Rhinolophus ferrumequinum: one gene and its partner. The protein of the gene in region 1 interacts with the protein of each later gene in a pairwise test. Links are inferred from orthologs where the notes say so. Each region holds a gene or a part of one and is shown in the gene's direction. Other genes may lie near its edges.

What was found.
Region 2: the proteins of MAP1A (region 1) and RHOB interact in a two-hybrid assay, tested with the Homo sapiens proteins (2 studies listed by BioGRID and IntAct). The link is inferred for Rhinolophus ferrumequinum from reciprocal best matches to the Homo sapiens genes MAP1A and RHOB.

Annotation. Positions count from the first base shown.
Region 1 is NC_046289.1:62,309,716-62,317,835, reverse strand, and holds the start of MAP1A (microtubule-associated protein 1A), read left to right. Parts: upstream 1-4,847; 5' UTR 4,848-4,891; coding exon 4,892-5,129; intron 5,130-5,498; exon of another isoform or gene 5,499-5,632; intron 5,633-6,108; coding exon 6,109-6,210; intron 6,211-8,120. UniProt on the Homo sapiens protein: Structural protein involved in the filamentous cross-bridging between microtubules and other skeletal elements.
Region 2 is NC_046296.1:58,503,443-58,511,180, reverse strand, and holds RHOB (rho-related GTP-binding protein RhoB), read left to right. Parts: upstream 1-4,419; 5' UTR 4,420-4,809; coding exon 4,810-5,400; 3' UTR 5,401-6,818; downstream 6,819-7,738. UniProt on the Homo sapiens protein: Mediates apoptosis in neoplastically transformed cells after DNA damage. Not essential for development but affects cell adhesion and growth factor signaling in transformed cells. Plays a negative role in tumorigenesis as deletion causes tumor formation.

The DNA of each region.
Region 1 (8,120 bases):
AATTGAAGGGTACAAAGCATTCAAGGAAAAGGACCGCCTGAACAGAAAGCACAAAAATGACTGAAGGAAAGTAAGTGGCTCAGTTTGACTAGATGAAAGAGTTAATTCAAGATATTTGCAGGAGGTAATGTTAAAAAGGGAAGTTAGGGCATATTATGAAGGATCTTCAAGAAAGAACTGATGAGAGAGAAGAGAAAAAGTGTTCGTGATTTAGTGATACTATAAAGGGAACAATATTTCTTCAACCTAAGAATTCCTTGAAGGAAAATAACTATTCTATGAATACCTTGAAAAAAAATAATGCAAAATTTAATTCACAGATAGGCATGGCTTCAAAACTAAGTTATACACCTAGATTTAGATTCTCTTTACCACCATCATCTTCACCACAAAAAAATCCTTAGAGATCCCTGCATTAAGATGTAGCTTTGTTCAGAATAAAGGAAAAGGTGGAATCGGAGGCCATAGCCAAACACTAACTTCAATCTCACAGGCAAATGGAACAGACAACGGAAAAGGTATCCATAAAAGTTTTTTTCACTTTTGGGAATTATTTTAAAAAGAAGAATGTGGGGATGGAGGGAGGATGAAAAGGAAATTTCCTCACTGTCCTTTGCAATGCTCTGTATGTGGGGGGAGTAGAACGGGGTGGGGAGGACAGGGGTGGTGGTAAACCCAGTGCCTTTGTTCTTATTACTTAATGTGAACAAATAATAATTAAGAAAATTATCCAACAAATGTTTATTGTAGGCCTCCTCTGTGTACCAGACATAGTAATAAATGCAGACTTCTCTCCTCTTTCGACATTTTTGGAGATTATTTTACTCAGTGCCTTTTTAGAGGTTATTTTACTCAGTGCCTTTTTAGAGGTTATTTTACTCAGTGCCTTTGCAGATAAACCAGCTGTTCCAGCTAAGAGGTGACCCTATGGCTGCTGGTATGCATTATGATCACAGCATTTTCCCCAAAAGCCAAGGATAAGCCTCTGACACAGCAATCCTGAAATCCAACACTCCTCTCTCTATGTAAAGAACGCTTAATAGGCAGAACTGAGTACAGGGTGGGAATTTGAGCCCCTTTTGGATCATGCAGCCCCTTTTGGATATTTTGACTGATAAGACCATGCAATCCAGCAAAGCAGGCTGGAATTATGCCAAACAGCTCAGATTCCCAGAAAAACTAATGATATTCATCAGTCTAGAAGTAAGGGAGGAGCCAGTATCTTCTCTTTACGAATTATCAAAGCTGACTTAAGTCCTACGGAGACCCTAAGCATTGAAAGGATTATGGTGCCCTCCTCTTCCACACACACAGAATTCAAGATGAGTATAATTAATTTCAATAAATTTCTGATTTTTGTCATGAGGACAACTTCAATAATTTAATTAAATGCCAAATATGAAATTATTTCCAGAAAAAAATTTAGAGATGCCCCTCATACTTTGCGGTATGTCCTTACCTTAGCTTCACCTGTACAATAGCAATTCCATCCTTGTATGCACAACAACGTAATCACCACAGTCAGTCTAGGTACCATCCATCACTATACAATTGACTTTCTTCATTTATTTCTCCTCCCCCCAACCTCCTTCCCCTCTGATAACCACCAAAATACTCTCTGTATCTAGAGGTTTTGTTTTCTTTTTTTATATTCCACATGTAAGTGAAATTATACAGTACTTGTCTGTCTCTGTCTGACTTATTTCACTTAGCATAATACCCTCAAGGTCTATCCATGTTGTTGTAAATCATGGCAAGATTTCCATCTTTTTAGTAGCTGAGTAGTATTCCATTCCTGTGTGTGTGTGTGTGTGTGTGTGTGTGTGTTTGACATCTTTTTCTATCCATTCATTTATTGATAGACACCTAGGTTGTTTCCATATCTTGGCTATTGTAAAGAATGCTGCAATGAACATAGGGATGCACGTTATCTTTTCGAATTAGTGTTTTCATTTTCTTCAGATTAAAAACCCAGAAGTGGAATAACTGAATCATACAGTAGTTCTATTTTTAATTTTTTGAGGAACCTCCATACTGTTTCCCATAGTGGCTGCACCAATTTACAGTCCCACCAACAGTGTACCAGTGTTCTCTTTTCTCCATACCCACTTGTTATTTCCCCCTCTTACTTTACTAGGCACGTGCATAATTTACCTACTGGGTAATTTATCCCTGTATATTATGAACTGATGAAGGCCTGGGGGCTGCGAATCACCCAACTAGCTTAAACTTAGCCAAGGTTATAATTACCTTTCACACCATTTGAGATTTACACTCCCTTCTGCCTGGTGCTCACTCCAGTGCAAACCCAAGTAAAGAGCCTGTAATAGTGCCTTCCTTTTGCACCTCCTCTAACCTCATCTTTTAGTGGTGGTTCCTTAGAGATCCCTTCCACTGTTCAAGGTCTTTCATCACAAATAGTTTGAAAAGCATTGGTTATAACCACTATATCTGTCAATGTTGCATGACAAGAGTATGGAAGAAACTATAAAATAGGAGAGTTCCCAAAAGATCATACCTTGTCGGTCCAAGGGGTCAACAGTCAAGTGAAACACCACAGTGGGCTCTATAACCACTAAGCACTACTGCATACGCCTCACAGTCATGCATATCCCCAATAATCCCCTTAGATAAATCCTTGAATGACATCCTTTTACTAGCAGGCTCCTGCCACAGCACACTAATCCTAAACACAAAATAGGTTTTACATACTTTGCAATTCATATGCAAAGTATATAGTCTTTCTATGCCTGTACACATGTGCATCAGTGTTTTCTGGCTTCAGTTGTAAGATTCTGGAGCATAGATGCTAACACTCCAGTTTTCTCTATAGAGCAGTTTGTGTAGTGCTGTGTGCCCTTTGACACTTGAAAATATTTTCCGATAACATGATGATAATACTGGATCATCACCCAATGGCTAGAAAGAGTAGGATAATTAAGACATACCTATAGCCAATTTTTCTATTATGTTGTCTGCCTTTGGCGAAAAAGAACCTGCTAAATACTCATCCAGCATACGTATGCAATTTTAGTACTGACATAGTTTGCATTTGCAACTTTAATTATTAAAACCCAATTCTAGCAGGGCCTGAGATCATAGGCCTGACTTTCTGCCCCTACCATCTGATCAGTGTGTGGTCCCTTCCCTATACCATTCAAATCTATTGTCTAATCTCTTTGTCAGACTTGATGAAAGCAGAGCCCGTGGGTAACTGCTGCTGACCCTTATACTGAAGCCCTGTGCTAGTTAAAGGCCTCATCTCTACAGTTGTTATGGAAACTGTTCCCTTTCTCTCCCAACAACCTATTCTGGCTTTCTGCCTCCACATGGCACTCTTTTCTGATTGCAGAAGAGGAGGTCTACACCTCTCCATGCCTTTTGCCATATTCGAAACTGCAAATGGTGGGGTGGAGTACATGTAGTAGAACGCTGTCTCACGTATCATATAGGGTGAGGCATTCCCCGCCATCTGATATTCTGCCAGTGCTCTTATTTTTCCCTCTCTGCTACAAAAAAGGATTTTCAAGGCTATGTCCAGTTTTTCTGAGCTATAACTGACATAGTATGCTATATTAGTTTCAGGTTATCAAACCCAAATTGATTACAGAATTTTCTGGCTATTTTGCTACAACAAATGCTCCATGATAGGGACCAGGATTGCCGTGAGGTACTTCACATGCACTGTCCAATCCTCCTCAGGGTGTCCAGAGAGGGAGTGGATCAAAATTTGGCTCACAGGCAGCTTTGCTGAATCTAGTACTGTGCTGCCTTTTACCCTGTACCGTCCCCAAAGTGTAAGGCAAATGGGACCAAGAAAGTGCTGCTGGAGCCCTAGGGTGAAAGCTCTCTGTGTGACACATACATGTACAGAATGATTTGATGGTTAAAAGAACTGGGGTGCAGAGTAGGTGGTGGGCACACGTTGAGGAATGGGCAAACATAGGCTAACAGCACACACCATTTTTACAAGTATGTTCCAAATCAGTCATAAAACATGGCAGCCTCTTTAGTCCTCTTTCCATCCCCTGGTTCTTTGGTTTGGAAGGATCAACCTTTTCTTTGGTTCACACGTTTCCCCTTCGGTTTTGAGAATTCCCCGGGGGAAATAATATCACAGTCTCCCAAGGTTACTCAATTCACTGTCACATTACCTGTAGTTGGGAAAGTCTTTCCTGGGTTTTACTCATATCCCCCTTGCTGCAGTCTGAGCTCATTGCACTCTTGAGTCCTGCACTCAGCAGAGATGGAGACTAGCCAACCACTATCTTCGGAATAACAACTCACCGGGGACTCAGGGCCGGAAGGTCATTCTGTCCCTTCAATACAGCGCAGCCTTCCAGAGCACTCCCAGGGCCTGGGGCAATGAGGACAGGGAAACCGAGGATGGAATCTAAGGCCCTGGCAGGCAGTGACAAAAAAAAAACAAAACTCCAGACAACGATAATACAGACACACCGACACAGATGGAGACACGATTCAAAACGGAGACAGAGGGACAAGATGGCTTCCTCAGTTCGGACGAGGCTGCAGAATTGCCAGACAGTACTCATAGGGGAAACATCCTAACTAGGAGCTTCTTCCGTCTCCGAGGCAATCGACTCATTCTTCCACCCAGTCCCTCAGAATCCTCACCCCTGCCCAAGTCGGAGTGGGAGCTCCCTCTGGAGAACGAGTGGGGGTGAAGGGGGCGACCATCACCACCTCCGCCCCCGGGCTAAGCGAGACTGCATAGTCGAGGTGTCCCTGCCCCGGCCCGGCCCCTGCGGCGCCAGTGCTCCGCCTCCTGACAGGCAGCAGCCAATGAGCGGCTCCTGCCTCCGGCCCTTAAGAACCCAGCGCGCTCTCCCTGCAGCGGACGCGGCCAGCCTAGCACTCCAACGGAGTTTCCATGGAGACCGAGGCTGGGCCCGGGCAGCCTCGCGGCGTTACCATGGAGACAAGTCCCGGGCTGGGCCTCCGAGGCCCTGGCTCACCGCTGTCTCACCACCCGGCGGATCCGCTGTGCGAGACCGGAGCCGCGGTGGCGGCGGCACGCTGGGACCTGCGGAAACACTCTTTGCTCATCGTGATCGGTGATATCGGTACAGAGAGTCAGCTGAGGGCCGTGCGGGCCCACCTTGAACAAGGTGAGCCGCTGTCCTGGCTGTGCTCGGGACATCCTCCATCCCGAGCTTCTCCGCCATCTGCATTTACCTCCCAGAGCTTACGTCTGCATTCTCCATCCCTAGTGTGCACTTGCTGAGATCTACGCGCCCTGTTAATCTGAGTCATCAGTCCATCACCTGCATCTTCCATGTCACGCGTCCATATCATCCCGAGCTCCCAACATCTCGCTTCCCATCCTTTCCGCACACCCCATGGCGCTCCGCAATCTCCCTGAAGCGGGGGAGCTCTGTGCAGCCCCTAGAGCCCCTCTGGTCACACCCTCTGTCCCAGTGTCTCGGGCCAGATGTCCAAAAAGTCCTCATCTTCCCCTGAAGAGTCCTTATCCCTACCTTAGTTTCTTCTTTAGGATCCCTTAACAGGCACAGGGTGCTTTCTGAACGCTGCGGACAAATCTCAAAGCTCTCAGTGTTGGCGGCCAACCTGAGAGAGTGACCTTTGTGGCCAGAAGCTCCTCAGTCCTCACGTCCCTCCCCAATTAATTGCCTGCCAGTGGCGCAGTGCTGCGGAGCCACCTGCGGGTGGGAAGCAAGCCGCGGAGGGGTGAAGGCAAGGAGGGGGGCATAGGAGAGTCTAGAATCCTACTTAGCTGTAAGGACCCTGGAAGGCAACCCCCAGTATCTGGGAATAGGCCCTTGGGTGTCACTTCTATTACGATTGGGTGGCTGCAAGAAAACTCCTACATATAAACTCACTAATAACCAAGTTTAGCCTAAACTCTGCCCTTCTTCTTCTGGCTCGGGCAAAGCCCAAGAAAGGCACAGGATGGGAGATGGACATAGGTACTAACAACCTCTATTAAAGAGATCAGTGAAGCTGATCATGACAGCTGTCCTTATCCCCTCCCTCTCCTTACCCTTCTTGTGAGCTTGGCCGTTGTTCCCTGAAGTCCAATCCTTCTGACCTTATTTAGAGCCCTCTTTGTTTCTTTTTCTCTCACAGGGATTCTCTCCTGGAACATTGACTTATCATCCTTTGACTTGAACCAACAATTGAGACTCTTCATTACGAGGCACCTAGCTCACTTCTCCTCAGAGGTCAAAGGTTAGGACTAGTGTCATTTGTCTCAATCATTTGGGTGAGGGTTGGTCACAGAAGAGATTAGGCTGGGGAGAAGGGAGGGACTCTTCAGGAAAGTCATAAAGCTCCATAGCTATGCCCACATACCCAATGCACTGTGAAGACAGATGGTATGATGGTAGAGAGAGCCCGGAGAATGTAATTTCTAACTGAGAAGAGGGTGGTCTATGGACAGCTGTTGACAAGTACTAAGGAAACAAGGTACTTGTCTTGAGTGATCGATCAATCACTCCCATGCAAAAATCCACTCTTTTTTTGTGATCCCCTTTCTGTGTCCCCCAGCCTCCTTGCTTCCCTTTACAAAGATCCTTGAATCCCCCACTCACCTTTCCAGATCCTTCCTTAGAACTTTTCCTCAGACTGCACAGCCCACTCTCCAGGTTTCAGGGTTTCTGGTCCCTCCTTTGGACCAGCCAACAGATCACCAGAGCAGAGCAGAAATCTGGTGCCAAAGGCTGGTGAGCACTGTCAAATCCAGGGTGGAAGCAGGGACTCCTGGCTTTACTGCTACAAGAGCTAGTCACACTCTGAGATTTGACTCTGAGATCCGAGTTCACAGGATGCAGTTTCCCATTGTGCTGGGTGGGAGAAATGGGTCAGGGATTTGAGTAAATAATATTTTAGGAGCTGTCATTCCATGACAAGTATCTGTGGGGAGACTGAAGAAAGCCTCACATCCCATTGTAGAAGTGCTGGGCATTCTGGTCATGTTGTTGGTGAATGTTGACACACCAATCCATGTGTCAGTGCCTTTATGGAATATGAAATCCATCCAACTGAACAGTTACTGCATCAAAGGACTGAATTCATATCTTATACAGATAATTCCATTATTTAGTATAGTAGATAGTCACCTCCCCTTCTCTTCCCGCTCCTTCTGCTAACTGCCACATCTTCAGTCATTTCCCTGATCACTGGCTCCCGAAGAGAGAAGACAAGTTGAATATGACTAATGCTTCATTATCCTAGGAATATGTGCAGCATTTAAAAAATGTGAGGCTGGCATCTTCTTGATGTGACTGGCTTCTTGTGAAGCTAGCCACTCACTGTTTTGAGACTGGCTTCTGTTAAGAATTACTCATGTCATGACTTCCTCCATTATCACTGATGATTGAAAATCCATAGTTTTACCCCTTATTACTCCTCGGAGCTTTGGTACAAGGGTGGATAAGGGGATGACGGCAGACGAAATTAATGACCACATTGAAGTTGGGGGAGTATCTGATGATGTTAATTCACACTGAATTCTCTAACCTTGTCCTTTTGGCCACAGAGATTTAAGATTAGGCTGCTTTCTGGAATGATGTATGAATGAACAGACTTAAACCAAAATACTTAACCATTCTTCAAATTAAGATCTAGGGATGCTTGGGAAGACGCTTATAGGGAGATGCATAGTTACTCTCAGGGACCTCTCAGAAACAAGCACTGATATATAATAAACACCTGCTAGATCTTTTCAAAGAGTTATGCCATGGTGTCCTCAAGGGGCTTAGGGCAATATACCCAAGATCAGGGCTTACTTTAGCCTATTGAATTTTTTTTTTTTTTTTTTTTTGGTTTGGACATTTTTATGGTGGCCTGACTATCTCCCTGGAGAATAGTGGAGAATTTCCTGGAAAAACCCACAAGGCTCAAGACAGCCACTGCCCCACCCCTGCTGGCTCGTCTTTCAGCTGTCCCCACAAACAACAGTCAGTCCAGAGCAGCTGCAGACACTGTCCCTCCTTTCAGCCTCCATTTAATGGGGAGGCAAAGGGAACCAAGCTGCTGGGATGGGCTCAAGGGGATGTGCTAGTACCTTATGACTTAATCCTTTCTGCCTACCCACAGAAAGGGCAGGGCCCCCATCCCTCTCACCTCTCCTCAAGCCC
Region 2 (7,738 bases), on another chromosome or scaffold:
TAAATATTTATCTACTATACCTAAAAATATTGTCAGGTCAACACGGAATTAATATCAAAATTATTAATGAAGTATTTTACATGTTTTTCCATCTAAGTATTCAGATTATTTTATAGTTACAGCACATCTCAATTTGGACACTAAATTTTCCTCTAAAATACTCGATCTATTTAGATTTCATAAGCTTTCCAGTAGGAAAAAGTAGATTCGCTTAACCAAGTTGTTTCAAACCTACATAAAAATTTCCCAATAACTGAATCAAATATCAGTTTTTATTTACTTTTTGGTGGTGCACATCAGTATTCATTTAATTCTCCTCCCCCCAGATTTATTGATATATAATTGACGACATTGTATAAGATTACCACCATACATTAACTAACACCTCTATTATGTCACATAATTACCATTTCTTTTTTGTGGTGAGAACATTTAAGATCTACTTTCTTAGCAACTTTCAAGCATATAATACAATATTATTAATTACAACCACCATACAGTACATTAGATTCTCAGAACTTATTCATCTTACAAATGGAAGTTTATACTTTTTGACTAATATTTCCTCACTTCCCCCACCCGGAAGCTTTTAAGTTATTTAAATTTAATTATAATTACATAACATTAAAAACTTAGTTCTTCAGAGACACCAGCAGCATTTCAAGTGCCCAACAGCCACACATGGCTCGTGGTTACTGGATAGGACAGTGCAGTTTCAGAGCCATCACGACCTGCCCCCTGCCCACTGCCTGTGCCCCTTAGCCTGGCCCTGGGCTGGACAGACAGACGGTCTGATGAGAGTTCATTGGCCACATTCTGAAGTTTGTCTAGCTATGGTGGTTTTCCTGTGAGCCCAGCCTTCTTTGTCTTAAGCCTGGGTCACACTGGGTCACAATCTCAGGGCAGGAGAGGGATATTTTACCTGCTGTTGCTCATTGCTGGAGACCCCAGAAAGCAGCATAACTGCTCAGTTGTGTAACTCATGGCTGAATGGGTCCCAAATTGACCTCATGGGACCGCCTCAGTTTTTCCACCAGAAATAGTATGGCTAGTTCTACAAGAACCTGTCCCTTTTTAAAACTCATTGTATTGAGATGGAAGGTTGACAATTTTCTTAGAGACTTTGGCTACTCCTTAAATTAGAAAAAAAATAAAAAATCAAACGGCTGTCAGGAATAGCTCTTAGTAAATGCTTATTGGTAAATGAATTAGGATTACTTCCACTTATACCAGAATATCCAATAATGGCTTTCTCTTTTTAAATTCTTAATTAACTAACTGACTACTTAATTTAATAATGGATTTCTTAACTATGGCAAAAGAGCAGGTGGTTTTTGTACAATTTCTGTACAATTACAGAAAAATGAAGTCCATTCTTATCTGTACTATTGAGATTCTATACCCTTTATCTCTTTCTTATCATCTCTTTTATAAGTTACTATTTAACTAGGAAATAATTTGTTATTTTAAAGTGTATACATATGAAAAGAGTTATGTGTGTGTATAAACATATATGCGAAGGATTTCGAAAGAATTTTTTAAAACATTCTTTAGGGTTTTACATTCCATGAAAGATCTCAAAATCAAGACAGTCATGAAATGCATGCTCTTTGGCTAGATTAGGTTTATTGTAATCATATAGCATGTGTACTTTTTTAGAGGAACAAAACCTGTAAAGATTGCCACAAGGTGGTGCTAAAATCCAATGAACATTCCAGTCTCTGATCTCTGGGAGGAGTTGGGGGTGATTTACAGATCTGTAGGAGACACCCGACAAAGTAAAGATTCAGTAAATTAAGCTGAAGACTGGAGGGAGATGAACATCCTCCGTTTGTCTGAAGGATAATTTTCCTCTTTCACTGGTGTGGGTATCTGTCATACAATGAATCTATATGTCAATAGTTAATTATTAAAATGATTTGTTCTCATAGACAGTTTTCTCCTTTCAGTGAGAGTATACTGTGAAGAGAAAGGGGAGGCAGGGAGGAGACTGTCTGGCACATCACCTAGTTTGGAAAAGTTTATCCTGTGAGTGGAGCAGTCTTTGAAACAGCCAGTCTCCACTGAGCTTTTATTGGACCAAAAAAAAAAAAAAAAAAATGAATACCACAGAAAGAAGTTGCTGCAGAACATGGATTTTCCTATTTGTTTACTTTGGCATATTTACCAAACGAATATTTTTAGAAATTATTTAGATATTGGGATTTAAGCTTGGAACACCTCATATAATATGTCTGAGAATCAGGAAACGAGTGAATTAAATCCCTCTTCCTGGTTCTTTGTATTTCAGTTTTTTAAAAAATACATGGCACAAACTTTTAATTGTTTAATTTTTAACAATATTTGAAGCTTAAGGACATAGCCAAGGTTCCCAAGCTATATTAAGACCAAGGAAAACAGTATAGTGTTAACTATACAGATATACAAGGTTTTGACTGAAAGAAGGAAAATTCAGATAAGAGTTTTCTAATACATTAACTTAAAAAGGAAAAAGAAAACATTTCCAGATTGGAGCCTTAAACCAAAAAACTTACTTTCTCCTGTGGGACCCACTGTGGAAAAATTATTTACTTGCTGACAGTTCAGTTCCTTAGATCTGAAAACCAGAGGCAAAACAAAACAAAAAAGCTGGGCATTGTATGTTGCTAATCCAGAGTGAAGGTAACACTTTTGGTCCTTTGGATTAGATATTCTCTATAGGATGGGCTCTAGGGGTTAGCGGCACTAATGTCTTATTTGACCTTAGTATAGCTATTGTGTCTATAGAGACCTAGCTCTCAATTTATGAATCCAAGGTTAAAACATCAGGACTCAGTTACAGCTGGTTGCATGGGTTTGGTTGGATGGAGTCTGGAGTTTGAGGTAGGAGACCCCCAGAAAGTTTCAGCTGAGTTCCTGAGCATTTAGGTGAATTTTCCACAGTCATTTACTGATTCCTGCATAGTGGGTCAGACATTGTGCTACATCTTCAAGATGCTGAGATAAGACAGAATCCTGGCCCTCCAACAGCTTCATTCTTAGAGAGGGAGGCAGAAATATGAGGCAATAACCTCATCATGCCGTGGTTGGTCTCTCCTTTGCAGAAAAACCAATAAGCATCCCCCAGCCTCTACAATGGAGATAGCCCAACCTGCTCAAATGGTACTCTATCTAGGCCCTAACCTGAGTTTCAGCTTTTTCCATCAAGTGCAGCTACACTAAGCTATTCATGGTTCTTAGAGTTTATACTATTCTTTCCCACCTCTCTGCTTTTGTTCATGCTGTTCCTCCTTCCTGGGAGGCCCTCCCTACTTCCCCTCCCCACTTCCCACCTCTTCTGTCCTTTGAAATCCGTTGACTTAGATCAGATGTAGGTGTCATCTTCTGCAGGATCAGTGGGATGGATGAATTAAGTCTTGGTGTGTAGCAGGAGGCTAGGGACGTAGCACCTCACCAGACATTAATTTGCTGTGTCCCCCTGCCTTCAAATTTCTCCTCCCACACTCCTCCTCGGGCCTCACCCTCTTCTTGCCCAATGGGGTGTGAGGTGATTAAATTCTATTGTACTGTCTACTTCAGACGACCAGCATCCGAATTAATCATGCAAACCAGGGCCGAGGCTATCTTTTTCTGTGTGGTAACTTCCTTCAAGTGGACGCGAAGTTCTGCAACCAGCCTTGTCCTTCCCTTTTCACTGGTCCTCCTTCCCCTAATTTTCACCTAGAGACTCAAGCTGGGGGCAGGGCAAGGAGTAGGCGGTAGGACTTGGAAGAGCCTCGAGGCTCGGCCCAGGTCCACCCTGCTCACAGTAGTCTCTCTCTTTCACTGTGTCCAAACCTAGGGCTGCTCCAGGGTGAGTACTGGGGCGAGGAGGGTGAGGTGGCAGACTAGACTAGGGAGGGGCCGCTTGTAAAAGAAAAGGAAAAAAAACCTTGGTTGGAAAAAAAACCTTGGTTGGAAACAAACGTGTGTGTGTGTGTGTGTGTATTTAAAAACAAAACCACGTTAAAAGAGGCGCCCCCTCCCTCACAGGTCAGACCACCCGCTGGGAGTTTGCAAGGAAGCGGGGCAATTTTGAGTGGGAGGGAGTCGCCAACGCCCCACAAAGTGCTGCCCCTCTCGGCACCGCTCCCCCAGGCTCTGTGGGCTCCAGGTAGCCAGCTCTGGGGGCTTGGCAAGGCGCGGAAAAGCTGCGAAGAAGAAGGGAACCCTGGTGTCACCAGAGCCCGGCAGCGCCAGCCCGGGCGCAGACTCCCCAATCGCCGCCTCTCCCAGCCCCGCGGCCTGGGCCGTCAATCAAGTTGGTTAGGCTCCGCCCCTGGGCTGCAGTGAACCGCCAATCAGAGCCAAGCTCCGCAGCGATGAGCTCAGTCGGCTCGCTTCCCATTGGACAGCTATATTAAGAAAGTGGCCGAACTCTTTAAATAGCGGGCGCTAGGGCCGCAGCCTGCATCTGCCACCGCAGTCTGGCCGGAGTCCTGTGCTCTCCTGTACTCTTGGAGAGGCCTAGGGAGACCCAGGAGGGAGTTCAGGTCGGGCCGCCGCTCCAGCCACAAGGAGCGTTTGTGCACAAAGGCGCTGACCCCGGGTGTGGGGCGAGAAGAGAGGCCACCGCCCGGGAGCAGCGCGGAGACTCACGGTGCGCCCTATGCCCCCGCGCCCCCACCGCCCCCGCCGCGGCAGCCGGAGCGCACCGAGAGGACGCGCCACCGCGGGGCCTGGGTGCAGCTAGCGACCCTTGCCCCCAGCGCGCAGCCCGAGGTGAGCGGCGAGCGGGACGGCAGCGAGGCGTTCGCGGGCCCCCTCCTGCTGCCCGGGCCCGGCCCGCTCATGGCGGCCATCCGCAAGAAGCTGGTGGTGGTGGGCGATGGCGCCTGCGGCAAGACGTGCCTGCTGATCGTGTTCAGTAAGGACGAATTCCCCGAGGTTTACGTGCCCACCGTCTTCGAGAACTATGTGGCCGACATCGAGGTGGACGGCAAGCAGGTGGAGCTGGCGCTGTGGGATACAGCGGGTCAGGAGGACTACGACCGCCTGCGGCCGCTCTCCTACCCGGACACCGATGTGATCCTCATGTGCTTCTCGGTGGACAGCCCGGATTCGCTGGAGAACATCCCCGAGAAGTGGGTGCCCGAGGTGAAGCACTTCTGCCCTAACGTGCCCATCATTCTAGTGGCCAACAAGAAAGATCTGCGCAGTGACGAGCACGTCCGCACAGAGCTGGCCCGCATGAAGCAGGAACCCGTGCGCACGGATGACGGCCGCGCCATGGCCGTGCGCATCCAAGCCTACGACTACCTCGAGTGCTCCGCCAAGACCAAGGAGGGCGTGCGTGAGGTCTTCGAGACGGCCACGCGCGCCGCGCTACAGAAGCGCTACGGCTCCCAGAACGGCTGCATCAACTGCTGCAAGGTGCTATGAGGGCCGCGCCCGCCCGCCCCTGCCAGCGCGGCCCCCCTCCCGGGCCGGTTCCCTCAATGATCCCACCGGACTGTCTGGTGTCTGCCTTCCCGCCCGGCAGCCGTGGCGTGGAGGCTGTGGCCCTGGCGCCGGGAATCGGCATGGGAGGCACTGGGCACCCCCTTTCCAGTGTCTGTGTGCGTCCAGCTATGTTGCACAGATTCAGGCGCACCGCTGAGTGCCAAGGGTCCCCTGAGCACCCTTGTCTGAAGAGCCAAGCCTCTTTCGAGTGTGTGGCTGTGTGTATCTTCCGACTTCCCCCTTCCCGTACCACTCCGCCCCCGCCTCTGGTCCCTGGAGAGGAGCTTGGCGCCGGGGTCCGGCCGAGCCCCATCATACGTTCGCCCATAACCAGTGAACGCCTGCTATCTCTTGTGTGTAACATAGACCACGGGAACTGCGGGAGGGGAGGGTTGGGGAGGACGGGGTGTTATATAAATATAGATATAATTTTATTTTCGGAGGTAGGATGGTGTTATTTAATGGTGGTGGTGGGTGGAGTGACAGGGCGCTAGAACAGCTCCAGCCCAGCCTGATTCAGGCGCCCATCCAAGCATGAACTGGACTTGGTCGTCTTTCCAACCCCTGGGGAAGACATTTGCAACTGACTTGGGGCTGAGAGGACACAGCTTCCAGACTCACGTCTCCTGCGGGCCAGCCCCAGTGAACACCTCACCAGCCACCAGCCCTGGGCAGCAGGAGGGAGAGTGTGCTGCAGGTTGTTTTTGCCATAAGCGAACTTTGTGCCTGTCCTACAAGTGAAAATTGTTTAGTCCAAGAAACTGATGTTATTTGATTTATTTAAAGGCTAAATTTTGTTGGGTTTTATTTTGAAAGAATTCTTTGCACAATTATTTCATTGTTTGACACTTAATGCACTTGTCATTTGCATAAGACAGTAGCATTCTGACCACACTTGTACGCTGTAACCTCATCTACTTCTGATGTTTTAAAGAAAAGTGATGACTTAAAAAAAAGGAAAAAGAAACCACTAATTTTTGTTTTGTTTTCTTGAAAAAAGTGGCAACACTGTTTAGTTATTTTTTTTGTGCAGGTCTGCACACTATTTTGATAAACAGCAGTAACAAGTATTGGGGCCTACCTAACCCTCCCCCCTCCCTTTTTTTCACAAGACAGTCTCTAAAACTATGTGAAATTTTCTCTGCATCTCTGTACAGAGAATGAACCTGCCCCTAGTCTCCTTCCTCCCCCCTTCCCCACCCAGTGGTACTTCTACTAAATTGTTGTCTTGTTTTTTATTTTTTAAATAAACTGACAAATGACAAAGTGGTGAGCTTATGATGTTTACATAAAAGTTCTATAAGCTGTGTATACAGTTTTTTATGTAAAATATTAAAAGACTATGATGATGACATTTATAAAATGGCTCCTGTGGTTTAATAGTATACAAAAATATCTTAATGAATTTGGGGCAAGAGGCGAATTCAGCTAGGCAAGGTTTTTTTCTAGCCACCAACTCTCTAATAGTGTTTGTTGTAAATGAGGATGAAATTCTTTGGGGGACGTGTGGGGGTTGGGTGGCCATGGGAGACCGGGTTGCTCCTATCCCAGGCCCAGAGGAAGACTATGGGTGGTACTTAGGCACCCAGTATCAAAACTTTTGACCTCATGTGTACTGTCTCTGTGTCCTAAAGACACTTGTGTCTCTTATGGGGCCTTTGCTCCCTATTCTTTGAAAGTTAAAATTGTCATTTGTGCAATTTAAATTTAGATAACATTTTTTCTGTTAATCACCGGTGTGGGGTCACGCTATCTGTCTGGAAGGCTGGTTACTGGGTTCCCTTCAGCTCCTCAAGGGTCAACACTGTACCCCATGAAATTGTAAGTTATCTTTGGGGCTGGAGCTCCTGGGTAAAGGCCGAATCAGGAGTTGATTCTCCTATTGCTGAACTTTACGTAAATGTGTATCTCTGGGGAACCTAGAATGCTTTATTCTAAGTACTGAGAAAGGCCACGTGATGGGTAGAACACGATGCTTTGGAGGGCTGTTATTTAAAGTCGGAGCAGCCACATTTTGAGATTTAATCCTTGATGAGCTCTAATTTCAGACATTTAGCCTGCTGCAGGGGGTCTCAGAACCAGACAGGCAGTTTATACTTGGAGACCACATGAAAATCCTATGGCCATGATAGCTCAGATCTGCCAGCTTTCAGCAGCTTCTAGGGAAGGTAACTTGATAGTGCCAACCTCTCCCAGCTGCCTAAGAAGTGTGGTTTTTGTTTTTGGAATCAGCACTTTCTGGGTTTCTAGCACTTAGTGGCTCTTCCTCTGGCCCTCT